2 linked regions of the Mus musculus genome follow. The protein of the gene in region 2 binds, or shares a complex with, the protein of the main gene of each other region. Links are inferred from orthologs where the notes say so. Each region holds a gene or a part of one and is shown on either strand. Other genes may lie near its edges.

Evidence for each region.
Region 1: the proteins of Ercc6l (region 2) and Bend3 are in contact, whole or in part, in a crystal structure (PDB 5JNO), measured with the Homo sapiens proteins. The link is inferred for Mus musculus from reciprocal best matches to the Homo sapiens genes ERCC6L and BEND3. Residues at the interface, in NP_060139.2 of Homo sapiens: Ala10, Glu11, Ala12, Leu13, Ser14, Pro15, Glu16, Ala18, Ala19, Tyr21, Leu22, Arg23, Lys26, Phe51, Pro52, Asn53, Glu54, Lys55; in NP_001073919.1 of Homo sapiens: Glu252, Gln255, Ile256, Gln259, Leu261, Asp265, Arg269, Val272, Gln273, Pro276, Phe279, Ser280, Phe335, Arg338, Phe339, Gln342, Glu346.

What each region holds. Positions count from the first base shown.
Region 1 is NC_000076.6:43,477,635-43,482,125, reverse strand, and holds the start of Bend3 (BEN domain-containing protein 3), read right to left. Parts: upstream 2,987-4,491; 5' UTR 2,754-2,986; intron 1-2,753. UniProt on the Homo sapiens protein: Transcriptional repressor which associates with the NoRC (nucleolar remodeling complex) complex and plays a key role in repressing rDNA transcription.
Region 2 is NC_000086.7:102,142,118-102,144,760, reverse strand, and holds the end of Ercc6l (DNA excision repair protein ERCC-6-like), read left to right. Parts: coding exon 1-1,582; 3' UTR 1,583-1,941; downstream 1,942-2,643. UniProt on the Homo sapiens protein: DNA helicase that acts as a tension sensor that associates with catenated DNA which is stretched under tension until it is resolved during anaphase. Functions as ATP-dependent DNA translocase. Can promote Holliday junction branch migration (in vitro).

The DNA of each region.
Region 1 (4,491 bases), on a different chromosome or scaffold from region 2:
AGCAAGTTCCAGGTTGGCCAAGGGCTAGAAAAGATAGCATGACTATATCCCTCTAAACACCAAGGAGTCCTAAAGTTCTACTACTCCAAAAACTAATTCTAAAACAGAGATGTCAATAGTGGGTACAGAATGGTTAGAATAGCAAGCATAGTCTCACTTATAAAAATTAACACACACACACACACACACACACACACACACACACGCCATTCCCTAGTCTCTTGTATAAATTATTATTACAGGTGCTAATGCATTTCTAGGCAGTTCTGTAGATGGGTCTCCTACAGGAGCTTAATCCTCACCCAATCAAACCTCTGTCAGGGCTGAGTCCAATTTTCCTGTTCCTAAATATTCTGCCCCCACCTTTGGTGCCCCCAAGGGTCCCCAGATAACCTATCAATCTCTAACAGACGGTTGGAATGCTGGCTAGTCTGTATTCTGTCTTCGTGGCTAACTGGTCTTACTTCTTGTGTGTGTGGAGAAAGAACGCTAACTTTACTGTTTAACTTCACTAAAACAGCATCTCTGACATGGTCATGGTGGTTCATTCTTTTGGTTCCAACACTGATAGGAGAAAGCGGAGATGGAGATGGCAGGTAGGTGGATCCCTGAGTTCTAGGGCAGCCTGGTCTACAGAGAAACCAAAAGACCATCCCAGTATGGGATACATAGTGAGACCCAGTCTGAGAAAACAACAAAAGCCAGGTGGTGTGGACACCTTTAATACCTTCCCCCACCCCCATCCCACCTCCACCCCCTACAGGCAGGATCAGTCAGATCTCTAAGTTTGAGGCCAGCCTGGTTTACATAGCAATTCAAGGACGGGACAGAATTTAGGGACTCGGTATCAAGACCAAACAACAACAACAAAATGCCAGGTGTGGTGGGACAGATCTTTAATCCTAGCATTTGGTCGGTTTAGGCAGCTGGATCTCCAAGGCCAGCCTTGTTAAATCTCAGGCTCCAGGCCATTCAAAGCTACAGTGAAATGTAGACTTAAAACAAACAAACAAACAAACAAGGCATCTCTAGTAAAGCCCAAAGTGGTTCTTGGTGTGTCTTGGTCTCACATGAGAATATATATAAAAGTTTAGATTTTTAAAAATGCAAAAATAATTCTTAGGGCTGGGGATGTAACTTAGTTGGTAAAATGTTTGCCTACCGTAACTAAAGTCGTAATTTCGATCAAGTACCACAAAAATTAGGTGCAGTGCACATACTTGTAATCCCAAGTATGTAACTCCTGTAACTTGACAGGCGTTCAGGATCACGCAGGCCTATATAACAAAAAAGTCTGAGGCCAGCAGGGACCACAGGAGACTGTCTCAAAAAAGGAAAACAAAAAAACAAAAAAATCCTGGCTAAATCCCAGTATTCGAGGAAGCTGAAGTCCTGTAAGGTTTACACATGAAACTCTAAAACGAGGGGCTGGAGAGATGGCTCAGCGTTTAAGAGCACTTGTGGCTCTTGCAGAGGTCGTGGGTTGTGTTCCCATCACCCACGTGGCTGCTCCCAACCATCTATCTGTAAATCCGATGCCCTCCTCTGACCTCTTAGGAGACCAGGCATGGATATGGCGCATATATATGCAGTCAAAACACATACACCGAAAATGAAGCTTAAAAACAAAACCCAAACACCTATGAATTAAAAGTGGAAAGTCGCAAAAAGAGAAAAACTGCAGGCATGGAACCGAAACAGAGACAAACCTAAAACCTCTATCTGGGACATTTCCACACGTTCCCCACTCGCCTGGGTTTTCTGGGTCTTTATAGATTTCTGGCACCCTCCCCTCTACTCAGTGACGTGTTACTTGTAGGAAAACATTCAAAAGTTACTTCTAAAAGGAAGTTCTCTGACTTCCAAACAGTGAACATTAATTCTGAGCATCTCTGGTTGGCCTCCACCTCCAAAATACTCCCAAGCGGGCCACCTGAGCGATCAAACTTCTACTTTAGGACAAACTTAAAAAAAAAAGAAAAAAAGAACTCAGATGAGTTGAGTCCCAGCCCACAAGGCCTTCACAACTCCGCGCCTCACAGCCCGAGCCAAGTCTGCGTGGGAAATTACGTCGATCGTGGCGGGCACAAGTCACGAGGGGCGGCGAGCGCCCCGGCCCGGCTCCACCGCCCGCCAGGAAGGCCTCGCGCTCGCTGGGGTGCACACCCAGAGCGCCGCGCTGGACCCGCCTCCAGCCGGGCAGCGGGAACCACGGAGCGCCGTGGAACGGCCCGGGAGGGTGCCGCGCCCCCTGGCGGCGGGGCTCGCCGCACCCCGCTCCCAGCCGCCGGCAGCCTCGCTCCCTCCGCTGCCTCCCCGGGGCAGCGTCCCTCCGAGCGGCGGCTCTCCGGCCTCTGGCTCCCCGCCCTTCTGCTCCCTCTGACACCCCTCCATCGCCGCCACAGGCCGGTCGAACGCGAGCGCTCCGGCGCCGCGCAGTTGCTCCCCGGCGGCCCTCGGCCGCTCCATCGCCGGCCCGCCGGGGGTGGAGAGCCGGCGCGCGGCGCGAGTGGGGCCGGCCTGGCGGCGGCGGCGCGGACCGTTCCACCGTGCGTCCTCCCCTCCCTCCTCCTCCTCCCTGGCCGCGGCGCGCGTGCTCCCGGAACGCCATGGAGTCGCGGCGTTCCGAGCGGGCACAAAGGGGCGCGCGGCACAATGGGGCGCGACGAGCCCGTGGGCGCCCGCTCCCCCTTCCAGCCCGCGCGGAGGCGGCGAGCCGCTCGCAGGCGGCCCCGACCGGGGCCCACACTCACCTGGGACGAGAGTTGTTACTTTGCGGAGCGGGACCCGCGCCGAGTTCGGGCGCCACGTGCGGGGGGCGGGCGCGCGGGCCGCAGTGGGGGCCGAGCGCGCAGGGCCTGGCCGGGGCGGCCCCGCCGACTGGCTGGGGGCGGCGGGCGGGCGGGCGCCGTGTATTTTCCCCTCTCTTTGTGTGTGTCCGTGCGCTGCGCTCTCGCGTGACGTGACGGGACTCCGTGTGTCATTTCCGCACAAGGACACAGGAGCCCCCGCTGCAGTGGAACCTCAAGCCCTCCGCCCCCACCGCGCCGCCCCTCCCCCTCAGCGGGGCACACGCGGGACCAGCGGCGGCGGCGGCGGCGGCGCTCGGGCGTGAGCGACCGCGGCGGGGAGCTGGGGCGCGCTGCGGGGCGGGTGCGCTCGGCCTGCACAGCGCGGCTCCACGTGGGCCCGCGCCGGCTGCCGGCGGACCAGGGCGGCTCTCACCCACGGGAAAGCGCCCCGCGGCATTCTCGGCTACGTGCTCTCCGGGCTGGAGCGTGGCCCCGGCGCCTCTTTCTCTACTTTTTCTCTAACCCCGGGGGGTGGGGGTGGGAGGCAACGCGCCGTGTCTTTTCCGCCCGCGCCCCCCGCTTTTGGGGCGCTCGGCTGTGGCGCCGCACCATCGCACGGACCTTCCCGTGCCACGCCGGGCACAAAGACTTCGGGGTGCGCCCCCCCTCCAGTTCTGCATGGATTCGTGGTTGGGGGGGTATACTGGAGAGCGACCCCGGGCTCTGGGGGAGCCCTGGCCACTCCCCCGGCAGGGTGGCCGCCCTCTCCCGTAAAGCCTGAGTTCCGAGAGCCCAAGTTTTGCCGCTTGAGGCTGCGGAGCGAAGCACGCGCTTGGGGACCCTCATGCCACCAACTCAGAGCCACGGGGCTCAGCGCGGAAAACTGGGAGACTCCAGTCGCCGAGTTAGTTAAGACCGACCGTCTCCTAGTTTCCCGGACTGCAGAGTCGGAGTTGAGAAATAAGAAACCAACCCCTCGCAGTTCTCCAACTTTCGGGGACTTGGGGTGGGGGTGGAGGGAAAAGAAAAGCCCAAGTCAACTTTTAAGCTGCGTGCCTGGTTTTGGTAAACAATGAGAACGGAAAAAAAAATTTTTTTAATCCTTTAATTTGCCGATGGAAAAAAAATGTCTAAAAAGAAAAATGCAAATGATCCCATCTGCTGCCTACAGCTGACTGGCTGCGAGAGAGGACCATGTGGCCCGGCCCGGCGCGGTCAGTGAATACGTAGAATAGATTTTAAAAGGACGTACATGCTGGCTCCTAGCTGCCCAGTCGCGGCCTAAGGTTGGAATTAACGCGTAGTCAGAGATTATTGTGTCTTCACACAAATTGGGAATTTAATCATTACGCAAGTTCCTCGCCTTCTGGTTTGAAATCTAATGGCGCAGAGTTGGACCTTGGAGGGACTGTGGAACGTTCTGGAGAGGTGTTTGGGTTGCAGACTTGGAGAAGTCAGTACTAATTGCTATGCAAAATTAGCTAGCAGCTTGAAGAAAGGAGCCCAGCATCCTAGGGGTGCTTTTATAAGAGAATCTATACGTGCTCAGTGTCATTCAAAACAGGATGATGGAAAGAATGGGCCCGAGATAGCAGCCCTTCAAATTCAAAAGGCTAGGGTCGCCCTATCTACATTTAAAATAGGGAGGAGGGAGGAAGGGAGGGGGAATGGTTAATTTATACATTCCCTGGAGACAAAG
Region 2 (2,643 bases):
GTCTCAAAATACAGTGCAAAGACAAACGACTGGAATTGAGGAGACCTGGCTCAAAGCACAGGAATTTCCTTCTCAACAGAAGAAGAAAGGTACTGAATTCAACAAACCTCAGCCCCAGCCTTCACGCCTTCTGACTAAACCTACCCAGGTAGAGGCTATCAGTTCTCAAATGGCCAGTATAACCATTTGCGATCAGTCTGCAGAGAGTGAGCCCCAAGAGCACTCTGAGGTACATGATGTCACTTCACTGCAAGGTAGTCACCACTTCAACAGTACATCTGATGCTGGCACTATAGCTTCTTTACCCCAGGGGGCTGAAAGTATAGGCGAAGTTTCTACTGACTCTTTATTGAGCCCTGCAAAAGGTTTTGCAGCTGAAAATGATGCTATGCAGAAGAAGGGATTACAAGCATCACCTGGGCAAGAGGCCCCATCAGAGAACCTGGGAAGTTTTCATTATTTACCTAGAGAATCCAGCAAGGCCAGTCTTGGGCCAAATTTAGATCTACAGGATAGTGTGGTTTTATATCACCGCAGTCCCACAGCAAATGAAAACCAAAACCTAGAATCAGATGTACCCATGATTGAAATATCTGATGACTTGTCTGAACCTCCTAGCGCACTGCAGGGTGCTCAAGCAATCGAGGCCCAGTTGGAGTTGAAAGAGGATGACCCTTTAAAATCACCACCACAATATGCATGTGATTTCAATCTTTTCCTGGAAGACTCTGCAGACACTAGACAAAACCTCTCCAGCAAGTTTTTGGAACATGTTGAGAAAGAAAAAAGCTTGCAAAGCCCTGCAGCTAACTCCAGGGCAAAGTCAGCACTTACTCTCAGTTTGGATTCTTCTCCTAAGAGTGATGAAGAATCAGAAGTGATTAGTGTGAAAACCAAAAGCAAAACTAGAAGGATCCTCTCAGATGATGAAGATGAAGATGAAGAAGATGCTTTTAAAGGTAGTCATACAAATTCAATTAACATCTCTCCCTTTCCATTCTCATCTGTGAAACAATTTGATGCTTCAACTCCCCAAAGTGGCAGCAATCCATCTCGAAGGTTCTTTTCACCTAAAACACCAGGTGAAGTGAATACGTCCTTACATTCTAGGAGGTCCCTGGCTTCTAGGAGGTCTCTGATCAATGTGGTTTTAGATGATGTGGAAGATATGGAGGAAAGGCTTGATAACAGCAGCGAGGAGGAGAGTGAGCCAGGGCTTTCAGAAGAGAACAATGAAGAAGAAGCCTTAGCCTGCACAGAAGAGCAGCCTTCTGGGGCAACACTGGCTTCAGGAAACAAGTCCAGCAACTTGACCATGTCTGAGCCTACTTCTCCAGCCCCACAAAGCTCTCCCTGTGCTCCTGAACCTTCGTCAAGTGACCCTATGCCTGATCCTCCCCAGGATCTGGCAGTGGAGGCTGGTAATGACTATGAGAGTCTTGTAGCTCGTGGGAAAGAACTGAAAGAGTGCGGGAAGATACAGGAGGCTCTCAACTGCTTAGTTAAAGCACTTGATATAAAAAGTGCAGATCCTGAGGTCATGCTCATGACTTTAAGTTTGTATAAGCAGCTGAACATTTGAGAACTTTATAGCCTATTTCTTATGTCTAAAATGCAATTGAATATAAATGTTTTGTTCAGCAGTTCTTCCCTTGAATATTTCATTTTTTCCCCTTTAGGCATACTTTGCAAACTTTCAGAAGTGTTACCTAAAGTTTTGTGAAGCTGTTCTGGCTATTTTTACTGTGAAAAGGGCCATTTTGTCTGTTAGCTCAGTTCTGAAAATTAAAGTGCCTTTTCTCCAGAGTGTTTCCATTCATTTTCTTTCACAAGGTGGTAGACAGAAACTCTTTAGTTCCAATAAGCTCGTCATTTAGCATTCCAAATCTAAGATAGCCTTAATAATGTGCCGTTTGTGCTTCCAGCTTAGCTGCATACAGTACCTGTACTAGCATTCTTGGGCACTTGTAGCCTGCCCTGGAGTTGCTCTACCAACTGGTTAGCTATTCTTCACTTACTCTGGACTATGCTTTTCTTCAACCCAGTTATGTGGTGTGTGTGTGTGTGTGGGGGGGGTGTTCTTCAGTTTTTTGAGACAAAGTTTTACATAGCTCTGGCTGGCCTGGAACTCAGGGAGATAGCTCCACCTGCCTCTGCCTCCCTGGAGCTGGGATTAAGGATGTATAACACTATGTCCCACTTATACTGGTGTTTGGATGCTATCACATCCTCTCTTTTGATTGTTGACTACATAAGAATCCGATTCACCTTCAGAAACACCAAGTGCAGCATATGCTGTCACCAAAGATTTAGTGTTTACAATGTGCCTACTGGATATTGAGTATATCACACAGGCCTCTTGTTTAATCCTTACCATAACCTTTGAGGTGGAGGGTGGTGTTTTTGTGTTTGAACTGAAACATCTAAGACTCACTGTGACCTGCCCATGATGAATGACATAGTAAGGCATAAAACTGACTTAACTTTGTACTGAATGAAAAGCAACTTTGTAACACTGAGTTCATTTTACTTTCATCACCATGACACCCAGTGTGGTGGTGGAAGTCCATACCAGAACACTTCTCTGGACACCAACCAGTGACCTGCAATTCAGTTTGGACACAACCCAGAGTTAGTGGGAGA